Linked DNA regions of Coturnix japonica. The protein of the gene in region 3 purifies or fractionates together with the protein of the main gene of each other region. This does not show direct contact. Links are inferred from orthologs where the notes say so. Each region holds a gene or a part of one and is shown on either strand. Other genes may lie near its edges.

What was found. Proteins that work in one complex are often made in the same cells at the same time.
Region 1: the proteins of CSNK1D (region 3) and GAPVD1 purify together in Homo sapiens (affinity purification with mass spectrometry; 5 studies listed by BioGRID and IntAct, counting the BioPlex papers as one, with this or other methods). This does not show direct contact. The link is inferred for Coturnix japonica from reciprocal best matches to the Homo sapiens genes CSNK1D and GAPVD1.
Region 2: the proteins of CSNK1D (region 3) and protein FAM83D-B-like purify together in Homo sapiens (affinity purification with mass spectrometry; 4 studies listed by BioGRID and IntAct, counting the BioPlex papers as one, with this or other methods). This does not show direct contact. The link is inferred for Coturnix japonica from reciprocal best matches to the Homo sapiens genes CSNK1D and FAM83D.

What each region holds. Positions count from the first base shown.
Region 1 is NC_029532.1:8,084,813-8,088,459, forward strand, and holds the start of GAPVD1 (GTPase-activating protein and VPS9 domain-containing protein 1), read left to right. Parts: upstream 1-730; 5' UTR 731-803; intron 804-842; exon of another isoform or gene 843-861; intron 862-888; exon of another isoform or gene 889-1,012; intron 1,013-1,984; exon of another isoform or gene 1,985-3,081; intron 3,082-3,374; 5' UTR 3,375-3,463; intron 3,464-3,647. UniProt on the Homo sapiens protein: Acts both as a GTPase-activating protein (GAP) and a guanine nucleotide exchange factor (GEF), and participates in various processes such as endocytosis, insulin receptor internalization or LC2A4/GLUT4 trafficking.
Region 2 is NC_029535.1:3,273,462-3,277,207, forward strand, and holds the start of protein FAM83D-B-like, read left to right. Parts: upstream 1-900; 5' UTR 901-1,024; coding exon 1,025-1,465; intron 1,466-3,391; coding exon 3,392-3,559; intron 3,560-3,746.
Region 3 is NC_029533.1:4,228,349-4,232,094, reverse strand, and holds the start of CSNK1D (casein kinase I), read right to left. Parts: upstream 2,522-3,746; 5' UTR 2,266-2,521; coding exon 2,190-2,265; intron 1-2,189. UniProt on the Homo sapiens protein: Essential serine/threonine-protein kinase that regulates diverse cellular growth and survival processes including Wnt signaling, DNA repair and circadian rhythms. It can phosphorylate a large number of proteins.

The DNA of each region.
Region 1 (3,647 bases), on a different chromosome or scaffold from region 3:
AATGAGAGCTGGACTTGAAACAGTGTCTCCAGTCACCCTTTGTCTAAGAGAACAAGTTTCTTAATAGCTCTATTGGGACATTTTTTGTGTTCTATTTGAACTACACGTGTCATGAGAAACACCGCTGGGTGCGGGTGGCTCTGGGCCGTACCCACACGTGCAGCTGTTCACTCTCAGCCTCCTGCTCCCCATGGTGAGGCTGTGCCAGGCCCCATCCCGCGGGCAGTGAGCTCTGTGCTGCCTGAGGACCCTGGGATAGCTGCAAAACGAGGGCAAAGTTAAAGATCAGCCTGTGACCATGGAGCAGTAATCAGCTGCGATGGTGCTGCAGCATATGATGCTGTTTATGATTAGGCAGCGCTGTGACACGAGGCAGATCGCTGCCCGTTGTACTCTACTACTTGTCGCTGCGTTTCACCCGCAGGGCCGGCCGAGCCCTGACGGCCCTTTGTCGTAAAGCAGCGGCGGGACAAGGGCAGCGTCCGGCCGGTGCATCCCGGGGCACGGCGCCCGTCGGTGCCGCGCAGCGCCAAGTGCCCGCTCCGAGCCCGGCGTTCCCCCGCGCCACGCAACAGCAGCTCCCCATCAGAGCAACGTATCAGAGCTGCTCCGCCGTACCGCGGCCTCGGTGCGGGATCAAGAGAGAACACGGGCCGGGGCTGCGGGACTCCATGTGTCGGGACTCCATGTCTCGGGACTACAAGTCCCAGGAGCGCGGTGTCGCCGCCCGCCGCCTGCGCAGTGCCGCGCCGCGCCTGGCTCGGGGCCGCAGCGGAGCCGGGCGGCGGCGGAGCCGGGGCCGGGTAGGGGAGAGCGCTCAGCCCGCGCGGCCGGGACCGGCGCTCGGATCAACCCCCGGCGGTGCGGGGGAAGGGAGCGGAGGGGAGGGGAGGGGAAGGGAAGGAGGGCGAAGGCCGGGCCTGACCGACCGCTCTCCGCTTTTACGGGGAGCCGAGCGGGACGCGCGGCCGGCAGCGCGGCGAGGAGCAGGCCGACACGCCGACACGCCGAGGTGCCCGTCTCGTCCGCGCTCCCCGGGCTGGGTTTGGTCTCCGTAGCGCCGGGCGGGGGCCGCGCTCGCAGTCGGCGCCGTGGGAGCCGAGCGGGCCGCGCTCCGCCCGCAGCCCCGCTGCCATGTTAGCGCCGCGCCGCACGGCGGTGGTCGCCGATCGGGAGCGCTCCGTGCCGCGGCCCTCGGCGCTCCGTGCTGCGGCGGGACGGCGCCGTGCCGGGCTGCGGGGCGGTGTGAGCACCGGGTTTACGGGGTCCGTGTGACGGAGGTTTAGAACTCGTAACTCGGGCAGCGTCGTGACTTCCTTTTTTCGTTACGGATAGAGGCTTCGCGCCGGAGGACTTTGGTCAGCAGAGCGGCTTCTTGCAAAGTCACGGCGGCGCGGTGCGGAGCTGCGGGCTGTGCTGCCAGGAGCGGGGCGGGCACACGGCTGTGCCTCGGGTGGGAGCCGCGCCTGGGGGGTCTGAGGAACCACGCTGCTGTAATTGGTGTCAGCTGCGCTGGGGGCTGCGGGAAAAGGGCCTCAGAGCGGCTGTGTTGTGGTGGGCTCTGGGACATTGCAGGTGCTGTATGTGTGGGGTTGGCTGTACGGTACATCAGGTCCTGGAGAACGCGTGCTGCTCCATAGGGCAGGCAGCTCTGCGTGGTGGGCTGCCGAGCTCGGAACTTCAGGTTCTGCGCTTCTGCCTGGGAGTCAATTAGTGTGACTCATTGTGTAAGGGGAACAGCTCTTTCTAACAGCACGAGCTGCTGGAGCAGCTTTTGGCAGAGTTACGTGCCCCTGTTGACTCTCATAGACCACAGTTATGCCACAGCTGACTATTTAGTAGGCAGCTGAGCCTATGTGTTCCCGATATGTCCTTTTGATAAGAGACCCGAGAAATGAAGTGCTCATTGCAGACAGGTCTCGTGTTCAGTGTTAGTTGTGCAGCAGCCACTGAGCAGAAACAAATTTGAGGTACGAGTTTCATGTTAATGTTGATTAGATAGCTGGGTTGCAGCAGATTGGAATGCATTCTGCACGTTGTGTGTGTTTTGATGCGGTGGGTATTGTAATGTGAGGGTTCAGCAGATAAATCCTAAGTCATGGTGAACTGAAAAATGCTTGTTTTTTTAGCTCAGCTTTGGGAGGTAGGTTGCTACCTTATGGAAAGAAGGCTTGTTTGTTGTCACTATAAATATTAATGAAGATATTTTCATCTGGGGTAAATTAGCATGAAGCTATTCAGGTTTGCTTAGAAATCCTTTCTTAGTAAGTTGGAGTGATCTCAGTTTGGCCTTGCCCTGCCCTGCCTGCAGTAGATCTGCCCAAACTTGCTGTGGAAGCTGAGTCTTGTTTAGCCAGATGCAGGAAGAACAAATAACCCTGAGCAGGAAACGTTGGAGGAGGAAGAAGAATTTAGTGTTCTGTGGCAGTATGTGCTGCTTTGCTTACTCTCTTTTCTGTCAGCTGATCTGCAGAAATGTGTAACAGAGGTGCCACTTGTTTCTGTGTGCCGCAGTAAAAAAGCACACACTCTATGTACTGCTATTCAGCGCCCAGAGATTAAAGGGAGTGCTTTTAAACTCGAGAAGCAATCGATGTCTGTGTTTACCGAAGGTGTAGATTGCCTTGGATTCTGAAAAACTTTAAGGCATGCTGATAGTAGGGCAAAACATCTTAGATACTGTCAGCTCACACAGTCTGCTGTGGGGCATTGTGAGGTGAAATTGAGTTGCTGTGATAAGTCTTCCACTTAGTAGCTTATTAAGAAGTCTTAGAAGAAATGAAGGGTTTTCCTATCAAAATGAAGATACCAGAATTGAAAAATAGTTTGCAGGTAGCAGGAGTTATTGAATATCTGGTGTTTCTGCAGATGCATCAGATAGTTGGATTTCTGAATTTCCTCCTTCATACAATTACATGCAGACATCTTTTATTTCAAGTTTGACGGATGATTGTTATAAAGTGGGTAATTATGGGTGGCTTCCTTATTTGTGAGAAACTGATAAACAGGAACTAGTAGCAGCTGAGGTGGCTGCTGTTCTGTCTGCTCTGTTACCGCCTGCTGCAGTGCATTACCAAATACGTAAGTGTGGCTAATTGCTTCTTAAAGCTCTTGTCCTGAGCGCTGGCATGGCATGAATGCTGGGCAGCGTGGGAAGGTTAAAGAATGCAGCTGTTGTCTGCTTGCACTGATCATGAAGAGAAGGGTTTTTTGGAGGGGAGTGGTGCATCATATAGGTATATTAATGATAGAGTAGTTTCCCCTTTCAAATATAGGCCATGTGAATACCATTGTGTAAAGAGACTGATAACGTGTTAATGTTGCTTAACTAGGTTGGTTGGTTTGTTTTTGACTGTGTTCTATGCTTTCTTTAGAGTGAGTCTGAAGGCTTCTGAAGGTCCATGTGCGTCACAGCTCCAGCTTTCCATCTCCAGTGTTCTCAGACATCTGCCAGACACGGAAGGTGAACACCCACTTGTTTGCACTGATACTTGCTATGCTTGCATGACTGCAGAATAATTCATTTTTAAAGAGCTGGTAATAGGAGTGAATGATGTGTTCCTCATCTACAGAGGTATATTTTGATAGCAATTGGTAGTTGCCAACAAGTTTAGTATTTTGGAGTACTGTAAAGCCAAGGAAGCTGC
Region 2 (3,746 bases), on a different chromosome or scaffold from region 3:
TTCAGAGCGTGCCAGGTGTTGAAGGTTTTGTGTGTTCATTTCTCCCATGTTCACTGTTTATAACACACAGAATGGAAAGGATCAGGATAATTGAATAAATCTTTTTGACCTCTTTCAGTATAGCAGCTCTAACTAAGCAGAGTCCAACACGTGCTCAGAGTGCTGTTAATATCCAGAGTTCTGTTTTCTTTATGGCCATACATCAGAACTGGTTGTTCTTCGGCTGTGTTCATCCTGCCCACACAGGCACTAGGCTGCAGTCCCCACTGGGTATCACTGGGCTATTCAGGCAACGTCTGACCCAGAACATGGCGCTGTATTCCAGCTGTGGTAGAGGAGCCAACGCTGAAGGAGCGTGTTCTGACCTCACCAACACACTGACCTCCACCAGGACAGAGATACGGGTTACACAGCAGTGCAAAAGCCGCACAGGGCAATAACCCTCACCCCATCCACCCACTGCAGAGTGTGCAGGCCCAACCCCACCAGGTGTATCTTATGTGAGGAAAAATAACGTTAAGGACTGTATATTGTATTAGCAGCTTTGTGTATAAAAATGGCATTTTGGCAATCAGAGTCTAATATATTTAAAACTTTTTTTTTTTTTAATGGATATTTGATATTGTACGGAACTGACTTTGTTGTTACTGTAAGTATGAAGAGGTGGTTTCTTAACGTATTGAAGCAACGCATAGAATCTTCAATTTTATGTAAAAACTCATGCCAAAAGGGTATGTCTGACAGTATTAGCAATTGACCCGCGTCTTTAATAGAGAGAATGAATTTTTTAATTTAAAAAAAGAATATATATATATATATATTAAATTTCTTTTAATAACACAGAAAACGCTGCTGGTTCTTGTGGGGCTTCTCAGCGGTGAGCTGTGGAGATGGGAGGCGGGGCGGGCCGGGCCGGGCGGCCAATGGCGGCATTGCGCGGCGCCGTTTGGATTCAAAGGCGCTATAGAGGCGCTATAAAGGCGCTGTACCGGCGCTGTATTGGCGCTGCCCGCCCGCCGTGGCCATGGCCAACGCGTCGCAGTGCCTGGAGGAGGGCGCCGGGCAATGGCCGCCGCAGCCGGCCGGGCCGTACAGCGAGGCGCAGCGGCTGGCGCTGGAGGAGCTGGTGGCGGGCGGCCCCGAGGCGCTGCGGGCCTTCCTGCGGCGGGAGCGGCTGCCGCCCTTCCTGTCGGAGCCCGAGGTGCAGGCCATCGCGCGGGGCGCCGTGCCGCCCAACGCGGCCGAGGAGGCGGCGGCCGAGGCGTCGCTGGACGCGTCGTCGCTCACCTACTTCCCCGAGCGCTCGGATGCGGAGCCGCCGGCGCTGGAGCTGGGCTGGCCGGGCTTCGGCAGCGGCGCGTTCCGCGGGCTGACGCGGGTGGAGGCGCACTTCCAGCCGGGCGGCGGGGACAGCCCGTACGGCTGCAAGGAGGCGGTGCGGCGGCAGATCCGATCCGCGCGGCAGGTGGGTGACACACGGGACGGCGGCGGCGAGGGGGGGAAGGCAGGAACGCTCGGGTTTGTGTCATTGTGCCACGGAGATGGAGCTGTGCCATAAAGAGGCAGCACGTGGCTTTGGGCCGATGCAGAGCGCGGTCTGAAAGCCCCGCTGAGCCGTAACTGTTCCCTGGGAGTCGTTAATTGAGCTCATCGCCCAGCAGCAGCTCCTGATCCCGGCCGCAGTCCCATTGGCTCCGCTGAAATTGAAAAGCGCGGCTCCCTGCCGGGCGGGGCAGCCCGGCTCAGTGCTGCCATGTGGCACCGAGGTGAGCGATGAGCATGACACAGGTTTGGCTCAGGGGCTGTTGTGCAGGAAGAGCCGCTCCGAGGGTTCTGTGTGGGGCTCTGGTGAATCATCGCACTGCCCCATAGAACGGCTGTATTTCAATAGAGCTGTTCCTTGTCGTGTTCTTTGCACCACGGCAGCAGCCAGGCACGCTGCTCTCCTCACTGCCTGGGAAGTGCTTTTGTGGGTAAAGAACAGACACCCTGGAAATGATTGACTGATGTGCTGTTTGGTTGTGTCTGCACCCTTAGGGTTAATGTGGGCAGTAGGAAAGCTTCAGGCACTGCTGAGTTCCCTCTCACTTTGAGGGACTAAACTCTGATGAGCAGAGATTGAACCTGAAGGGAAGGCATGGAGCTGGGACAGTGGAGATAGCAGGGAAAGACTCTGCCCCAGAGGGCAGTGGGCATGGCCCTGAGCTGCTGGAGCTCAGGGAGTGTTGGGACATTGCTCTCAGCCATAGGGTTTGGGTTGGGGTGCTGCTGTGTGAAGCTGGGGCTTGGGCTCTGTAATCCTTGAGGATCCCTTCCAGCTTAGGCTGAGGTGGGTGCAATTGCTGCCTTATCTCTGCACCTGGAAGAGCCCAGCACAGAGAAGAGGGTTTTCTCTACCTCCTATAACTACTTTTATTTTGAGCTTTTCTATCCTGTTTAGCTGCTAATACTGCTAATTATTAGAACTCAGATGCTGCTGTTTGAAGGCAGCAGTATTTCCCAAAAAATTTGTGTTCTTACTGTTCAGTTTTAATTTCTTTCCTACCTCATCTCATCGGTATTGCCCTAATTTTCTCCATCTTGCTCTGGCACTTGGAGAAGTGACAGAGTGGAGAAGACCAGAGGCTGTATGTGAGGAGCACAAAAGCATAAACTAACTTATATCTAGAAATGCAGCCTGCCTGTGTTTTATAACTAAGGAATTGCCTGTTTAGGGCCAACCCCCTAAGGACAGGGCTCAGGTGGGAATGCAGAGCTGAGTCTGTTCTTGTGGGAAATGTTTCCTCTGAGCACCAGCAGTGCCACACACACAGCGCTGTGTGCCTGGGCCTTGGTGTACAGCAGGGGGTGTGTGCCAGGTGAGCAGATAGGGGCAGGTAAGTGCAATAGCTCTCGTTGCTCATCTGGCGGGACAACAGTAAGTCACGAAGCCAAACCTTTGTGTCTGCACCCACGCAGCTGTGTGTTCCCAAGTTAAAGGGCTGGAAATCTGGGAAATGGTGTGTGGTGTTGCTCTGAATGGAGAGACTGTTTAGAAATGTAAGAACGCTTTGTCTGTGGCCTGCACTGAATGAAAATCTTTCCATCTTTGGACTTGCTTGTTGGAAAGAACTCCGATGGCGAATCTGCATCTGCTTGTGAGTGGATGGGTGTTTCTTTTTTGTGAAGGTGTTGGATGGAACCCAGAATGTGCTCTTCCCAGGCTCTCATGAGATGCATTCAGTTGGCTGTGTTGCCTTGGTGATTTGTGCAGGGACAGAGCTGCCTTTCTATCATGTGGCCTGAAGAGAAAACAGGGAATGTTTGTAGATGTTCAGCTGTGCAGGAGGCCATGTGAGCCACTTCTGTCCTCTGTAAATTAAAGCCCTTGAACTGCTGCTTCTCTTTACAGGTGATTGCCCTTGTTATGGATTCCTTCACAGATATCGATATCTTCAGTGACCTTCAGAACGCCTACAGCAAGCGCCTGGTCCCTGTCTATATCCTTCTTGATCAGGACTTTCTGCCCTATTTCTTGGAGATGTGCAAAAACTTGGGTGTCTGTCCTGAGAAGGAGAATGTAAGTACTAAATGTGATGGAGTGGAGGTGTTTTGTTTTTCCTTCTGCTTTGGTTTTGTACATCAGAGACACCTCTGTGCAAATCATCAGGTTTCCTTAAAAGTCTGAAGCACTCTGGGTGTTTGGACACTGAAATAAGGAGGTGCTGAAAGTTAAGGCCCACTTTGGTTAGAGACTGTACTGCAAG
Region 3 (3,746 bases):
TAATGCCTTCATGACTCCTGTCTGTTTGACCTTGTGGGTGGAGCCAAACACAGATGCTTACCCTGATTCTTTTCCTGAACACTGCTCATCTTTGCTACTCTATAAGATATCTGGGCATCCATGCTCTTCTTTCTTCTAGATAGGAACCTCATAAGACGGAGGTACACTCAATTCTTCTTTCCTTTAAACTCCCTGTGGTAATTCATTCACCACAGCATCTCAGAGCTCTGTGCTACGGACCCTGTTATGCTACATGAGCCCAGAAGAGCTGTAACACTTCTCTCCCAAGCACAAAACAGATGGAAGCTTACAAACGTATTGAGAGCTATCAGAAAGCGATTGTACTTCAACCTATTAATCCTGAGCTCTGCAAGAATGCAAGAAGTGAACTGTACATGGCTCTGCCTTACTGCACCACCCGAACGACCAAGCAGAGCCTATTTGTTGTTAAACACATTTGGTTTAACCAGAAGCACAGATCCTTTAAGCCTCTGTTTTGCCACACAGCGGCTGGCAAAGCAAACCACCCTCTACAAAAGACCACAATATTTAAGATCTTGACACAGCATTTTCCCTTGGAAACAGATAACTGTGCCATGAGCTGGATCTTTAAGGCAAACCATTCTCTGCTAGCGGATGGCTCAGAAATCACCCTTGTAATGTGATGTAATTATCAATCCATGCTGGTTACTTAAGGATAAGAAGAACAAGATTCGAGGCACGCACAGTGCTCACAGTAAGAGCTAATTGTACATCGACACTGAGAATGTAGGGATAAAAAAGGACAACATCTGAGGATTAGGAATTCTTGCACCAAAAGTTGCAGGAATAAAGAGAGAAATACTGAGACCTGAAAGTCTTTCCTGATGTGGGCTGGATACATAATACATACATACAGATACATACAGATGAAACCATTTCCCAGCCCTCTTCCATACATAAGACAGTAACAACTGACTTGTTTAACTTCTACCCAGCAGTTAATCTGGATTACGAAGCATGCCTTTACTCTACTTGCACTTTAGAACTCTACTGGTCACCATTTAATTTAGAGAAGCCAAATCTTTAGTAGGAATACCTCAAATCACAGCAAGATTGTTCCGATTTTAACTGCTGCCTTAAAGCACTAATGGCTGCTAATGAAGATTTTGTGTGTCACCACGTTCTCTCATAGCACCCTTCATTCTTTTACACACAGAGAGCACAGATCCCATCACAACAACATGGCTGGATTCTTCATCAAGATGATATTATGGATAACCAGCCTTTCACGACCTGTAAGCAAGAAGCTTCAGCTGACACATTATTTCAGAAGACCAACTGTGCATTGCAACACAAAAAGGTACCATTGCCTACAAGAAAAATACATGTATGCCCTGTGTACACCACTAAATACAACATACATGAGCTAGGGATGCCTCCACTCTCTAGACATGTCCATTTAACCTACTTTAATGCCTGCAAGTTCCTCCCCTCCAGTTATGTGTTCTACTTCCCTATGTTACCTCCATTTCCAAACACCAAACGCTTGTTTCTATGTGGCAGCACAAACATCAGTATCTATAAAACCTATTTCTGTACATTGAATCCATTTTGTGCAGTTTGAGAGATTTAAAATACCACGACAACCTTCAATGCAGCCCATTGAACCATCAGCAGTGAGCCATTACAACACAGAGCAGGTAAAGGCACTTCTATCCCACAGTCTTCACACTCGCACAGAAATCACAGCAGTGATTGCGTGCCTTAAGACAAGAGGGCAGCGTTCAAGTCAGGGCAGAGCTGAGCTGTTCTCATTTTTATGGAGGATCTGATGCATTTTTTAACTTGTCATCCCTGAGTTGTGTGATATTTCTTTCAGGCCTTACAGCAGACAGCAACATCCCTGTGACAGCGATTTAACCCAGTGCGCTGCGGTGACATTTAATGCTGATGCTCGTGCTTCTTTCCCCAGATCTTTTCCCCTTTTACAGACAAATATCGACGCCCAAGGTCACCAACCACCAACGTTACGAGGCAGCCGAATCATCCAGGAGTCCAGCGCTGCCTAAATTAGGACACGATGCGAAGGGAACATCGCGCTGTGCCGGCACCGAGGCACGACGCAGCGTTGGCCATTGAGCTCCGTCAGGACGAGGTGAGGCCCCATAGCCCCCCCCGGTGGGTCCGCACTGAGCCCCGCTCCTTACCCAGGTAAATGTCTCCGAAGGATCCGCTCCCGATCTTCCTGCCCAGCCGGTACCTGTTCCCGACCCTCAGCTCCATGGCGGCGCTTCGCTTCGGCCCCGACCCGGTTCCGTCTCCCTTCCCACCCTTCAGGCCGGCGCTCTTCTATCTCACAGCCCCGCCGTTCCTGCCGCCATCGCGGCCCCGGTCCCGCCGCTCGGTGCTGCCGAGGAGAGCGACGCCGCCCTCGGAACTGCAGGGAAGGATGGACGCGGATTCAGCACAACGCCGAGCCCTCAGCGACTCCGGCCCCGAGCGGCCATACTGCGTGACCTCACTTCCTTAGCAACGGGGGCGGGGCGCGCTGCCTGGGGCGTTGCTGGGGAGCCGCCATAGTGTGTGACCTCACTTGGGTGGACTTCCGCTTCCGCCCACCATTTCCGCTCTCATCCGCCCTTCCCATCGCGCTCCGTAGGTCCTCAGATGACAACTGCGCGTGCGCGTCCTGCCCCTGACCTCTCTGCTCCGCCTGTCTCTATGGTCTCCGGTCCTCCAGGCAATAACACGCATGCGTTTAGAACGCGGGTAGTGGCGTCGCTTTGCTTTTACCGCTCTGCGCCGCCAGTCCTCCAAGATCTATGGTCATCGGTCCTCCAGTTTCCCAATGGACGCGGTCTACATTCCTCCAGTCAACAACAAATAACAATAACAATAACAATAACAAGAAAAGCAACTTTCACATGCAAAATTAAAAAATAAAAGAGTTCATCCCCGTGATAACGAGTATAATTTAGACCAAGGAGTTCTAAACAGAAGCAGTATTTCCTAATGCTGTGGGAAAAATTGAGATCACCCCACAGTCATTCCAGCCCTCGTTACTGTTGCTCATCACATTTGCTTTGCAGAGCAATATCTGGGCAAAGAATTGAGGCATTAACAGCAATTGATTGCTATGGGTGAGCAGATATTCTTCCTTAGCATCACTGGGGTTAATTACGCCGTAGATTTTATTTCCACAGACAGTATATACTCGTAATCCCTCCAGGAGGTGATTCATACACATCTATCTCAAGTAATGGCGTTCCACCATCCATCCCGTGGCTTCTGCTGCCATCTAGTATCCTTTAGCATCACCACAGCCCACTCGGCAGCCTCTGACTTCCCCCACCACCTTCCTCACTTGCCCACTTGATAAACTCCCTTCACTGAGGTTTGCTTAGAAGGAGAATGGCTATTAAAAGTAATTTATAGGTACCAACCCTGTCACTTTTGCCTCCTCAGCCATCTGAGCATCTCTTAGTCTCAGGATAGGGATAAGTTCAGCATCCTGTCTTTACTGGGGAAGGAGAGGGGGAATACATTGACACCTGCCTGTTCCATCCCAGCCTACCCACAGAGCAAGGCTACGCAGCCTTGTGTAAAGGCCCTGGCTTCTTTGATGTTTGTTAACCCCACTCATGCCTTTTCCTTCTTGAGTTTCTTTTGCTGAGGGTCTCTTATCAAAACAGAATAGCCTTACAACATGCTTTCTAGTCTATAATACTACATCCATAACTATTCACAACATCTAAAAGCTATCG